Linked DNA regions of Arabidopsis thaliana. The protein of the gene in region 2 interacts with the protein of the main gene of each other region in a pairwise test. Each region holds a gene or a part of one and is shown on either strand. Other genes may lie near its edges.

Region 1 (5,757 bases), on a different chromosome or scaffold from region 2:
CAACCATGAAGTAAATCCTTTTGGATTCCAAGTTTTGGTGAGGCTCCAAGGGCTTTGCTCTGATTCCTAAACGCTTCACTGCTTCGGATTCCAAGAGAACGTGGCCTGGAAAATCTTTAACCACTGTACCAGCTTCCACAGGCGTTTTCAGTTTGAAACTCTCGCCATTGATGTTCATGATTGTCGCTGTTTTCTTGGTTCCCAAGCTATTTCCCATTTTGGTGAATGATGTTGTGTAAAATGTTAGTATCTTTTAGGTTCACAAATGAGATGAAAAAACTTTGTAGGTTGGTGTCTATTAAGAGCTCAGTAGTTCAAGGTGGGTGTTGTGTTAGATCAGATCATTATAGATTTTGGATTTGATTTATGGTTGGTTGCTGATGATAGTGAACCATTTCTTGGTCAACAAAATGCCAAAATCTTGAAAATTATTAAAACAATGAGAAGACAAAAGTTACGTCGCATTTCACTATCAATCTTGAAAAGACCAATAACAACCCAAAATTTATGCTTAATTTTATAAATAGAAATGGAAAATGTGTACTGTTCTTCACTTCGACCATAGTATATTTTGTACTATGTGATTTTGGAAGTTTTGAGACCAATGTTTTCTGAGAAAATGACACTTGCGTTAATCGCTCCGATTAATCTGGAAAACTACGTTGTCGAAACATTTTTTCTCAAAGACACGTGAAGAGATTGACTTTTAACGAATTTGAAAACAAAAAGCTGATTTGATTTCTCTTTCTAGGAACAGTAACAACACACGACCTTTATCAAATCATATGAAACATTTTTTTTAACAAAATTAACAAATCAATACAAAGATGAGTCAAAGAGTTCGATTCTCGTTAACTCTTTTGACTCCACCTTCTCCTCAAATGGAAATTAAATTAGTCTTCCAAAAACTCAATAAGATACAGGACATAATAAACAGATCAATAGCCAGCAAAACTAAATTAATTCATGTTAAGGGCTATTTAGAGTGAACCTAATTTTCGGGATGATTTACGGAGAAGCTCTAGTAAAGAATTAGCTTTTCGTTTAGCTCTCTCTGTACCGTCTCTTGATAGTTCCATCAATGGAACAACAGCTCCAAGTCTACCAATGGAGATCAGTTTTTCAGTATCTCTCTTGCAAAGACACAGTAGTATCGCAGCTGCGTTCTCTCGGTTTCGCGGTTGATCCTTCTGGAGACAATCTATCAAAGGTGGTATTGCGTTGGCTCTCAAAATCGCAGTTTTCGCGACTTGGTTACTAGCTAGAACCGAGAGTATGGTCAAGGCTTCATCAGCCATCCTCTCGCTCGAGGAGTCTGTCAGCATTTTCACCAATGGCTTTACTATACCGGCTCTAACTGCTCTGCCTTTGTTTCCCTGGTAAATACACAAGTTGAACAGAGCCGTAGCTGCGTCTTTCTTCCCTCTGACGCTTCCATATTGAAGCAGATCCACTAAGGCCATTATCGCACCTGATGCGCCTATAATGATCTTGTTCTCATCAGCTAACGAAAGACTAAAGAGAGTAGCTGCAGCGTTTTCTCTAGCTTCCATGCTTCCAGCTCGGAGGACTAGCACTATAGATGTGACTGCTCCTGCAAGCATGATCAGTTCTTTGTTGTGTTCGTATATGGAGAGGTTAAGAATGCAAGTGACAGCATTTTCCTGCGTTTCAGTGTCACCATCTGAGGTCAAAAGCTTGACCAAAACAGGGATGGCTCCTGCCTCTGCAATCAGAATTCGGTTGTCTGTGCTTCTTTTTGACAGAGAGCGGATTTCAGAAACCGCAGTCCTGCGGTCTTCGATTGATTGGCTAGAGAGTTTACAAACCAATGCTCGGATCGCTGACATATCTCCACTTAGATCACGGAAAGACCCATCACTGTTTTTGGTCCTACCGTTCATGTAACCACCTGGTTGCTCAATGTTGTGCTTAGTGCACCACTGAGATATCAGGCTTCTGAGGACATAGTTTGGAGTAAGAGTAAAGTTTTCAAGTTTCTGCTGTGTCTTTGGGCAGCTCAGATTTCCACAGTCTATCCATCTCTGAATGAACGACCTCTCGTATGTCTGCCAACGAAGAGAGAAGATCATTGTTAAGGTTTCAAATCAACAACCATACGTTAGCACTATATAAAGATTTGATTTTTTAAACCAGACCTGTCCTGTGGAAACAATAGCAGGATCCTTCATCAGTTCCAGAGAGATTGGACAAAGAAAGTCCTCTGGAATCGTGAGATTATCCGATTTCTGTGAGTCATCGCTGTTCTCGGTAACTGCTTTCTCTAATCTCTCATCATCACCATCCTTTGATAAAAAGAAGGCCAATGATACTGAAGAGCTCTTCCAAGGAGGGGGTGATTCAAATTTCTTCTCATCTGATAAAGAATGCACTGTCTCTGGAATACTCTCCAACTTTTCAATAACTTTTCTATTACTTGAGGCATCTTTCTCCATTGGCTCAGATAAACCACTCGAGAACTTCTTCGAATTTAACGATCCATATCTCTGCATTGCTCTTCTTAACTGTAATCTTGCTAGTTCCACCTAATCACAAGCAAAAAAAAACCCTTAGAAACACCTCCATGGATAGGAAAACCAAATCTTCATACATTCTACATAATGAACAAACTTTTACCTGTTCACGGACTTCGTCAGAGATATCATATCTATCATATGTCAAATCACCTAATGCTTTCTCCAGCTTCCATGTAACACATTGGAACTGGAATGAGATCCTCTTGGCTGCCCCATCCTTCAATCAAAATCACACATCAAAGTTTAGAGAGCTCCTCATGTATATATTAATAATGCTCTTCACTACACAAATGTCAACAATAGTATCTTCCAATCTAAAAAAACTAAAAACAAATTCTTCCTATAAATTACGTTCCTGCCATGGCGAGACCAAATCTTCGTGAAATCACAAATCCATTTTCAATCGTTGAGAATGGTTTAGAATGCTTACAGAGGACTCGCGAGCTTGGAAACTAGTAGCTGAAGACAAAAGACGCTTCGCGGCTTGAAGTCCCACCACAAGATCAGACCACCAATCACATTCATGAGAATTCAACGAAGAAGAAGCATCAGATTCCGACGGCGGAGAAGAATCCCTGATTTCCTCAATCAAATGCGTCAGGAGACCGACTCGTCGCGCGAGATCGGAACAATCCTTCTTAAACAAACCAAAATTCCCCGGAATCTCATTGATTTCAGCAATAAGACCGATGAGAGAATCGGGAGTGATAGCTCCACCAGCCATTACGCCGTCTCACACGGCGGCTTAAAATTCGAATTTTTGTGACTCGCTCTCTCTCTCTCGCTGGCTCGCTTCTGACTCAGAGATGCGTCTCTATCGCTTTTATGTATCCAACGAAGCCATGTGGCGAAAAAGGATAAGTCGCTGTTACGACACCGTTTTGGTTTTAGTGTTTTTTGTTTTAAACTTTTTATCTAACTCTAAAAATGGTTTTTTCTTTTCTTTTTAGTTTACTGGCTTTATATTTTTAGATAAAAGTTTATGTGATACATTTAAATAATACAATAGAACAAACTAGATAATTGAGAGCGAGATTCACGGTGCAAGTAGAGGTTGAAGAGAAAATGATACAGTTGTCAAAAAAATAATCAATTATTATCATTTATATTAGATCAAAACTGTATAATAGAAATGAACTATACTTTTAAATTCAATAAAAAAATCCACTTTTCTATTTATTGAAGAAAATGGTTTGTTGTGTGCTTAGTTGTAAAGTAGATCTTATATGATTGTATTTTATAGTTGTGTTGAAATTTATGTTGGAGTTATGAAATTTATCTGTATGTATTATTTATGTAATCTTAAATGGTAATAAATAGTCAAATTAGTTATTTTTTCTATTTGAAAAGAAACTAAGATAAAATTTCCAGGCCTTTAGATGCATTGTATTGACATGTGTTTCTAGTATATGATCTGTCTTACCCTAGTGTTTATTAAAAGATGGAAAAAATCTTCTTTGTAATTAACTAAATATAGCTTTACATGTTTTATTTTCCCTTAAAAATAACTTTGTATGTGTAAGAAAATTTAATATCTCTTACAGCAAAAATGTTCTAGAAAAATTATGTCAATTAACATAATTTTGGTGAGTATTATATAGCCTGCAAATGGAACGGTCGAACATGACCCGGTAGATCGAATTTTAACAACATTTTAGATAATTTGAAGCATGTATACAAATTGGGACCTATAATTTTCTTAAAACTGTTTTACCACAGTTTAGTATACTTTTGATTAAAATTTATAAACATGACTTACATATAGTTTGTGACAGTCTTGTATTGAAAAGTTATCTCGGTTTAACAAAAGAAAGGTTCAACCACGACATCCACATCATATCGGCCGACGTCCATGCCCGTGACTTCTGCGTCCTACATAACAACCGATAGCAACTTGAAAAATAGACAACATTATCTTTTAGACATTTTTGGCAAGTTTGACTGGCTGGTTTCATAATTATTTTTGGACATATGCAAAAATAAAAAGATCTACATAAAGAAGAGGGTATTCGTCTGAATCAGATGAAGATTAATAACCTTGAAGTGTTTGATGAGGCATGTGATTTTTGCTTGCACATCCACACACAACTCTCCATTAACCACAATACTCACCGTTATTTCTGAAATTTATGGTGTAGTTGTACTTGCGGAACAATATGAAAGTGAAGGTGAGATCAGAGTTTATACAGTTGTGGAAACAACTTCTTTGATGGTTGTAGATCCCGCAATCGTAGAAACAACCTTAATGATGATTGTAGTTTCGATGATAAATATTGGTCCATTTTCTTAGCAAACAATCTCCTCTTCTATACTTGTCAAACATTCATATTCTTTGGTCATGCAATTTTGTTTAATATTTGATGATGTTTGAATAGCGGTTGTACAAATGTATTTACTTTCTAATTTTTATTTTAAGCATGTATGAAGATACTTTAAACAAATTCATTGTGAGTTTTGTTCAAAATATATGTGAACGTGTTTGTACTAGTTGGTGCATATTTGACCGTATAGTCTCCATGCTTAAGACATCCTTAAATCGATACATTTCATTATTTTATAAGTTAACTAATTTGCTTCCTTTATATCTTTAGTAAGTAATTTTCGTATTTATAGATTCCTTTGTGCGAAACGAGAGTTTGAAATTGCTTTTGAATAAAGAGTAAAGTGTAGTTTGGAGGAAAATGAACATACTTGTCCATTTTAAGAGAGTTAATTAATACTTCCCGTCAATGTGCACCGTTAACATTGCTGTATTAGCTATAATTTCTTACAGCTTGATTGATCAAATAAGCAGCGGTTATCGTCGGTTAGTTATTAACGATCTACTATAATACTAATCACTGAAAACAGAACCGGACATTTAAGAGAATAGTTGTTCAATGACCAGCCGGTCCAATTCAGGATTAACATATTTCAAACATCGTTATACCATCTCTCTAGTGAATATTATAATATGTGCATTTGTAATATAACAAATGTGTACAAACAAATACACCATTTCTCATCGGAATAGAAGAAGCGTTTCTTGACCTGTTGAACCATTGGTAGAGGATTCGCTAGAGTCCTGAAGGCAAAGAGCTGGCAAAGAAGTCACGGCCGGGATGAGACCAATGTTTAGGTCAGGCAAATGACTTCGTCCGGTACTAGTACTATCCTCCGAGCAATTGGTACTTGGAATGGGCAAAATTGTTACACCACATGATTCGGATACCGAAGAAGA
Region 2 (6,923 bases):
ATGTCCTTTAACGGTGGAGTTTTCATTGTCGCTATCGCCGGATTCGCCGTGGGTTTCATGCTCTTCGGAAGCACTGCTTTCAAGAACCCCTCTGATGACGAGAAACCCTTCGAACAACTATGATCACTCTTTATTTTACTTGGAAAGAACATTTCGTTTGTGTGTATTTAATTTGCGTTTCTTTGAATTTTGATATTTTGTGACTAGAATTTGGAATTTTATGAAGAATATAGCCATTTTTGCATTTTATTGTAGATGATGTAGTCATGTAGATGATAAATTTCAACCACAAATTAAATAACAAACGCCGTCCATCACTCGATTAGTTCTCTACGAGATAAGGTGAACTTTTTATTGATCAACAAAACACATATATCGTTGTATGTACCCAAAAAAATTTATAAGAAAGTAAAAGAAAAACACACGAAGACAAGAAGAGCTAAAATATATTAAACTTCATTGTATAGATATCTAAGACAAACTTAATCCATATGTGATATTCACCCTTTTGGTTTCGTAGATATAAATCCATAACAATTTAAATTCATGTGTGACAGTCAACATTTTGTTTATTCCATATATTAGTTCACAATATACCATCATCTGTTTCTTCATCAAGACTTAAAAGATTAGACGAAGAATAAGAAGAAGAAACCATTTGTGACTATTAATTTCATGACTATCCATGTCATTTTTGGAACTTCCTTCAATATTTTATTTATTTTGTGTGTCAAAAGGATCTTCATCGTAAAAAGAAAAGACAAAACAAAACGGGTGCTGTAATGATGTTGAACGTTTAAAGCCTAACATCAAAACTCACAAGGATCTCTGTTTATCAAGAAGGCTTCTTTATTGAATGCATCTCCCAAAACATCTAACATCAAAACAATGGATTCGCATGCTTCGAACCTTTCTCACTTAGAAGTTCACATAACAAAATATGACTGGCTCACAAAAAGTGTAAGTCCACTTATATGTTCTACACCAATCGAGCTCATCCTAAACGGTTATAATATCCGTAGAGTTGGTTTAATTTTTGTTTGGTTATTCCATGGGAAAATAAATTACAAAGTTAAAAATTGCCAATATTCAGTCATTAAAACATGAAAGAGGATAACTAAGCAAAGTTCGCAATCTACTTATCATCTATTTCTTCTACACTATCATGTCATTTTTGGAACTTACATCAAAGAATTTTCAATTAAAAAAACAAAAAAAAAAAAACAGTTTGGTTACAAACTTGTAACTAAACTAATGACAATTATAAAATCATCAAATAGTTAACCATAGTTCCTAGCTATAATAATGGTAATTAAAGTCCCAAATTGGGCAAGACAATTCCTGAAAGGCAGAAGAGGGAAGATGAGATCATCTTAAGAGCACCAACTAGTTGCCATGATTTTAAACTAAAATCTTTGAATCATGGTGCTTCTCAAAACAAAATCTTAACTTACATAAATAAGAATAAGTAAATATAAAATGAAAAGCCCTAAAAACTTATAACTTCAGGATGGACATGAAGCTATCATAATGATCTGAAACCGTCATAGTAAGGTTACTGAATTCCTTATGAGTGGAAATAGGCAGTCCTTCGATCATGACATTTTTGATACGTTCCATCTTCAAGTTGTAAAAGAAAAGACAAAACGGATCAGATAGTTTTTTTGAAACGAGACAAATTTCGCCGGCACAGAATAACAAATAGAGCAATGAGGCATTTTCAAACTTTTAGCCAACAAGCTTTGATATGACTTTATAACTGGCATCGCAGCACCTTATCGAGTAATGCAGTTCATATTTACACCTTTCTTTTACACAAAACCAATCCCACTCCCTTTCTCATCATCCACACAAAGTAGCCGGTAAAGCAAAAAAGCTCTTATACACAAAGAAAGCAAGAATTGTCCCAAAAGAAAACTCTCATACATCACTTTGCTGTTTCTTTCTTAACTTCGTTATTCGTCCAGACTACTTGCTCCAGAGAATTAGAGAGCTTCTTATAGAACTGCAAACAAACCATCATCTCTGCTTAGCTCATAAACCAGTTAATTACCCTATCATATAGTCGAAACCAAGCTATTTGACTTACCTTGTGAAATTCGAGAGTGTCTCCTTTCGACTTCGATACTTGAACCATATGAAGACTTGGCGCTACTTGGAATATCTGCTTGTTGTCACACCATACAAACAAAAAACACACTGATTCAATAAACCATCACCAACACTTTCTTGAATGTCCAGTCTCATATAACATACCTCTGTCGCTACATTGAGATTCCCCTTTCTTCCAGCCTTCACATTCTCAAGCCTCATCTGATTTCAAGTAATGTACTACGACGTCTTTAGTTATTGATTCTTTTCATTTCATTTCATTTCCGTTACAGAGTTTTCACTAACCTTGTAGTTCTTCTTTTGAACATCGAAACCGAGAGGCTTTGCAGCTTCTTCTATCTTCTCGATGATCTCATTCGCGCCTCCTCTCAATGTTATCCTTGTTTCCCTCTTAAATTCCTGTTTTCAAAATAAAATATTCCGATCTCAGAATATGGAGACAGGAGAGCCAGTCTTTTATAGGAACAGAACACAAACCTGTTCTGGATCAAACAGATTCTCTAGGTTAAGTCCCCTTGACATTGAAATGATCTCGAAGGCATTGATCGCCGCTGGCTGTTCTTCTCTCTTCTCAGTAACAAGATGTTCCTGTATATGATCATCACATGCGTTATGTGATGCTCTTGTTAAGAAAAAATGAAAAAGAAGAAGAAAAACTATCCACACCTCAGAGTCCTTGAAAACAGCATCAATATCGTCCATGTTTGAATCATCCCTCTCCTCGAAAACAGGTGGCTTGTAATCTTTCTTGAACCATTCATCTTCGAAAACCTCTTGCGGTGTTACACGCTGACACAAAACCAAATCAACTCAGTTTCTTCAAATTGCATAGGAAACAAACAATCTAAATAATAGTGAGTGTTTAGGATCCTCATTCTCCGGTAATCAAAAGACATGTTTATTCGATTAGTATGCTTAACCAAGAACTAGTGGTTGATTTTTGCCAAAAACAAGGGAACAATCAGAAACTGTGCAATGAAATGAGAGATGAAGCAGATAGAGTTGTACATGTTATTATGCATAACACAGGTTCCTCAACTTTTTTTCTCCAGCCCTTTTGTGCTGGAAAAATGGAAAACATGGTTGAGTAGTACAATAAATCATGGTGCAAAGGAAGGAATATAGAGCTCATTACTCAACTCTCAAGGGTTTTTAAAAGCCATAAAGTTCATGTTTGTGTGAAAATTCTTAGCAATGGACAGCTTTTCGCTCCAACAGTTGTGGACAAGTAAATGCCTTTTATTTAGAGGGGTATATGAGCATGTAAAAATTACTTACAGTCATCGGATTCGGATCTAAGATTCTAGTGATGAGTTTCATGGCACCGAGTGAGAGCCACGGAGGACAGTTGAATTCACCAGATGATATCTGCACCAAACCACAAAAATGCCGAAAGGGAGTTATAAAAATCCTAAAACAAGCATTGCTGGAAGATTCCATCTAAAAGAGAGAATTTTAGAAAAGAGTTGCTCACTTTTTTATAAAGATTCATTAGATTAGAATCATCAAAAGGTAAGTAACCTGCAAGCAGGACATAGAGTACAACACCGCATGACCACATGTCAGCTGTTGCTCCATCATAGCCTCTATCATTGAGAACCTAAAACCCGCAAAGATGTCGGTTATAAAGACGTAAAATGAAAGGATAATATTATAAGATATAAAGAAATCATGTTTGTTTTAGGCAGACCTCAGGAGCAACGTAGTTTGGTGTTCCACACGATGTATGCAAGAGTCCATCATCCTGATATCCCCAAGCATATAAACCATGTTTAAGAATAGATATATGTATATAATTTTTGACAACAAAATCCGTAAGTTCTTAGGAAAAATGAAACCACTTCTTGGAACAGTAAAATACTTATGGAAACAGATGGTCATTACCCTGACTTGTTGGGACAAAGCACTTAATCCAAAATCTGAGATCTTGAGGTTTCCATAGGAGTCCAATAGTAAATTTTCAGGCTGCAAAATCACATTACAATAGTCAATTACTGGCTTACTGCACATAATATATGCATAGGTAACTTCTCTATCAATATACCATGTTTCAGTCCTACCATCTATAAAAACAATGTATGTACCTTGAGGTCTCTATGGTAGACCCCTCTGCTATGACAGTAGTCCACAGCATGTATAAGCTGTTGGAAATATCTCCGCGCCTCATCTTCTTTCATCCGCCCATCATTTACCTTCATTCATAAGTTATCACTATCAGATTTCACAACTATAATGTGACATCACAGAATCACAACCATTTATAATTGTGGTAACTAACTTACAATCTTATCAAAGAGTTCTCCTCCTGTAACATACTCCAAGATGATAAATATTTTCGTCTTACTTGCCATCACCTGCAACAACAACAACCAGTACAATTTCGAAGTAAGTAATTTCCAAGTACATAGTACATAATCAAATAACACATTTATCTAAAGAAGTGTTAATTACCTCATATAATTGAACAACATTTGGATGTTTTATCAACTTCATAGTAGCTATCTCTCTTCTAATCTGTAAAATTCAACAAAAAAACACAAGCAAGATCAAAATCAACCGATAAAAAACCGCAATGCGAAAGCAGAGTATCCATAATTCAATAATAACAAAAACCTGTTCAGCCATTTTATGCTTGAGAACTTTCTCTTTATCAAGAATCTTGAGAGCAACAGGTTCTCCAGTTTCAGAGTTTCTAGCAAACTTAACTTTAGCAAACGTTCCTTCTCCAATTGTTCTTCCAACTTCATATTTACCTACTCTACGTTTCACTTGCTGTCTCCGATTCATTTCTCTAACCACACCACAAACAAATATCACTCCTTCAGAAAACTTAGAACAAAGAACGAAACTTTAGAGGATTTGATTGGAAACAAGAAAAGGGTAAAGAAGAAGCAAGACAGAGAATATCTCAATCTTATATATATATATATATATATATATATATATATATATATATTACTTATTTAAAAAGCAAAAAAGAACCTTAATTTTTTGTTGGGGATCAACATAAGAGAAGATCTGATAGCTACAGAGAGATTGAGTGAGAAAGAGAGAGATTTAAAATGGCTTTTGAGAGAGACGAAGAGACAGAGGTCGTGATAAACGATGAAGAAGAAGAAGAAGATTTATTTTGATTATTAAATTTTTGTTGGAAAAATTCGTTTTTGGTGAGAAGTTACAGTTTTGCTTTAAGGAGTTTCAGTAGCAGACAAAGATCCTTAGAACAGAAAGAAACAAAAATTAATTGCTGTCTTTGGTCTTTTTTTGAGTTTTGTAACTTGTAACCACTAAAAAAAAAAAAAAAAAAAAAGGCACAGTAACCGATTTCAAAGTTTTAAGATGATGAACTCAATTCGGATCTGTTTTCTCTTTTCTTTTCTTTTATTTTATTTTGATATTAAATTTCTTTTTTTAATGTTGAATTATTTTTGCCAAACAATTCTGAAATAATAATGATTAAAAATGATAATATTAGTTTTTTTTAATGGATCAAAGAATTGGGGCGAATTTTGTTGTGACTAGTGAAGATTTTGTTTTTTTGTTTTTGTGATGAATGTTTGTTTATTGACTTACTGATAGTGACAATAACTAACAAGATTTTTCGATTTAAGTAATTTTGTCTTCCACAAAAGATTGAACATGTAAAAGATACTAATCTGTTGTAAAAAAAAAAGGACAATACTAGGATCTAATCTAGATGGTATACCACCAGATAAGTTTGTATTTTTATATATAATAATGTTCAATTTTTATATGGACAAACACATTTTATGCAGCTTCGCTTTAACAGTCTCAACTTGACTGACATTTGATATATGAGAGTTATAGTGCAGAGTTTACTTTGAGTTGAATGGTTATTATAAAATTTAATCAGTGGCAACTGGCCCACTGGCCAGTGTGTAACAACAAGCAAAGATCCAGAAAGATTGACAAATTAAAAGCTAATTAAATTATTCGAACCTAATTTTCTTGTTCAGATTTGTTTCACTTTTAATATTCATAGTCGTAACCTTACTCGAAAAAGACATCCACGTTATTTGTAAGAGTTCCGGTGCATATCACCCATCGCTTGCAATTACTATCTAGTTGCTGCAAAGTTAAGAAATCAATTTTAAAAATGAGAATGAAGAAAAGTTTCAAATCCTTTTTCTTGGCATTGAAGTGGTTTATAAACTCCATCAAATCCAGCTATGTGAAGAGAAACAGATAATCCACAAAGAATCAACGCCAAATCACAAAATCTATCCAAAAGAGAGGTTTCCAAGTTAACAGACTCGGCTGGTGATATTTGAAGAAAGAGACTTGAGCTGTGAGTTCCATTTATCAACCGCCTTATGCAACTTCCTTCCATTGCCACTGTCGCCTCTCAGTAAGTAACGGTTCATTTCATCAATGTGACCATCGATTCTGCTGTCGAGTATCAGCGACACTAGTAACTCCGTCACATCCGTCTCTGGCACGTTCAGTTCCTTTGATATGAACGGAATCCCTATCTTTGTGTATGGCTTAATCAGCTTCAGTAACACTTGTGTTCTCACTTTCTTCAGCAGATCTTCCATGTAGTTTCTGATGAATGGATCATCCATTATCGTCCTCCGGTTACTCTACATTCCAAAAACCATTCCATGAGTGTCGTTTTCATATATAATGAGTTGAAAAAACAACCCAATAATACTTCACTTTTTACCTTTAGTATTCTCTCAAACTCTATGATCTCATTTCGTTGATATGCTGCGATCAAATTTGTCATTGCCAAAATCTCAGGGTCGTTTTTGTACCTGCAGAGAGCCAACTATGAAGCAACGAACCAA

Evidence for each region.
Region 1: the proteins of CIPK3 (region 2) and AT1G71020 interact in a protein complementation assay, tested with the Arabidopsis thaliana proteins (one large-scale study listed by BioGRID).

The regions. Positions count from the first base shown.
Region 1 is NC_003070.9:26,789,845-26,795,601, forward strand, and holds AT1G71020 (ARM repeat superfamily protein), read right to left. Parts: upstream 3,476-5,757; 5' UTR 3,262-3,475; coding exon 2,968-3,261; exon of another isoform or gene 2,755-2,967; coding exon 2,638-2,754; intron 2,547-2,637; coding exon 2,160-2,546; intron 2,070-2,159; coding exon 981-2,069; 3' UTR 705-980; downstream 1-704. Other genes in the region: AT1G71015 (plastid movement impaired protein), read right to left, coding at 1-217; MYBL2 (MYB-like 2), read right to left, coding at 5,539-5,757. UniProt on the Arabidopsis thaliana protein: Functions as an E3 ubiquitin ligase.
Region 2 is NC_003071.7:11,513,307-11,520,229, forward strand, and holds CIPK3 (CBL-interacting protein kinase 3), read right to left. Parts: upstream 5,387-6,923; 5' UTR 5,121-5,386; coding exon 5,095-5,120; exon of another isoform or gene 4,904-5,094; coding exon 4,726-4,903; intron 4,627-4,725; coding exon 4,564-4,626; intron 4,467-4,563; coding exon 4,395-4,466; intron 4,305-4,394; coding exon 4,197-4,304; intron 4,078-4,196; coding exon 3,997-4,077; intron 3,857-3,996; coding exon 3,803-3,856; intron 3,713-3,802; coding exon 3,587-3,712; intron 3,481-3,586; coding exon 3,391-3,480; coding exon of another isoform or gene 3,352-3,390; exon of another isoform or gene 2,902-3,351; coding exon 2,779-2,901; intron 2,701-2,778; coding exon 2,590-2,700; intron 2,512-2,589; coding exon 2,398-2,511; coding exon of another isoform or gene 2,365-2,397; exon of another isoform or gene 2,314-2,364; coding exon 2,257-2,313; coding exon of another isoform or gene 2,165-2,256; coding exon 2,090-2,164; exon of another isoform or gene 2,006-2,089; coding exon 1,928-2,005; 3' UTR 1,397-1,927; downstream 1-1,396. Other genes in the region: COPT6 (Ctr copper transporter family), read left to right, coding at 1-123; FUS12 (proteasome family protein), read right to left, coding at 6,378-6,716, 6,800-6,890. UniProt on the Arabidopsis thaliana protein: Involved in the resistance to some abiotic stresses (e.g. high salt, hyperosmotic stress) in young seedlings, by regulating the expression of several stress-inducible genes (cold- and salt-induced genes but not drought-responsive genes).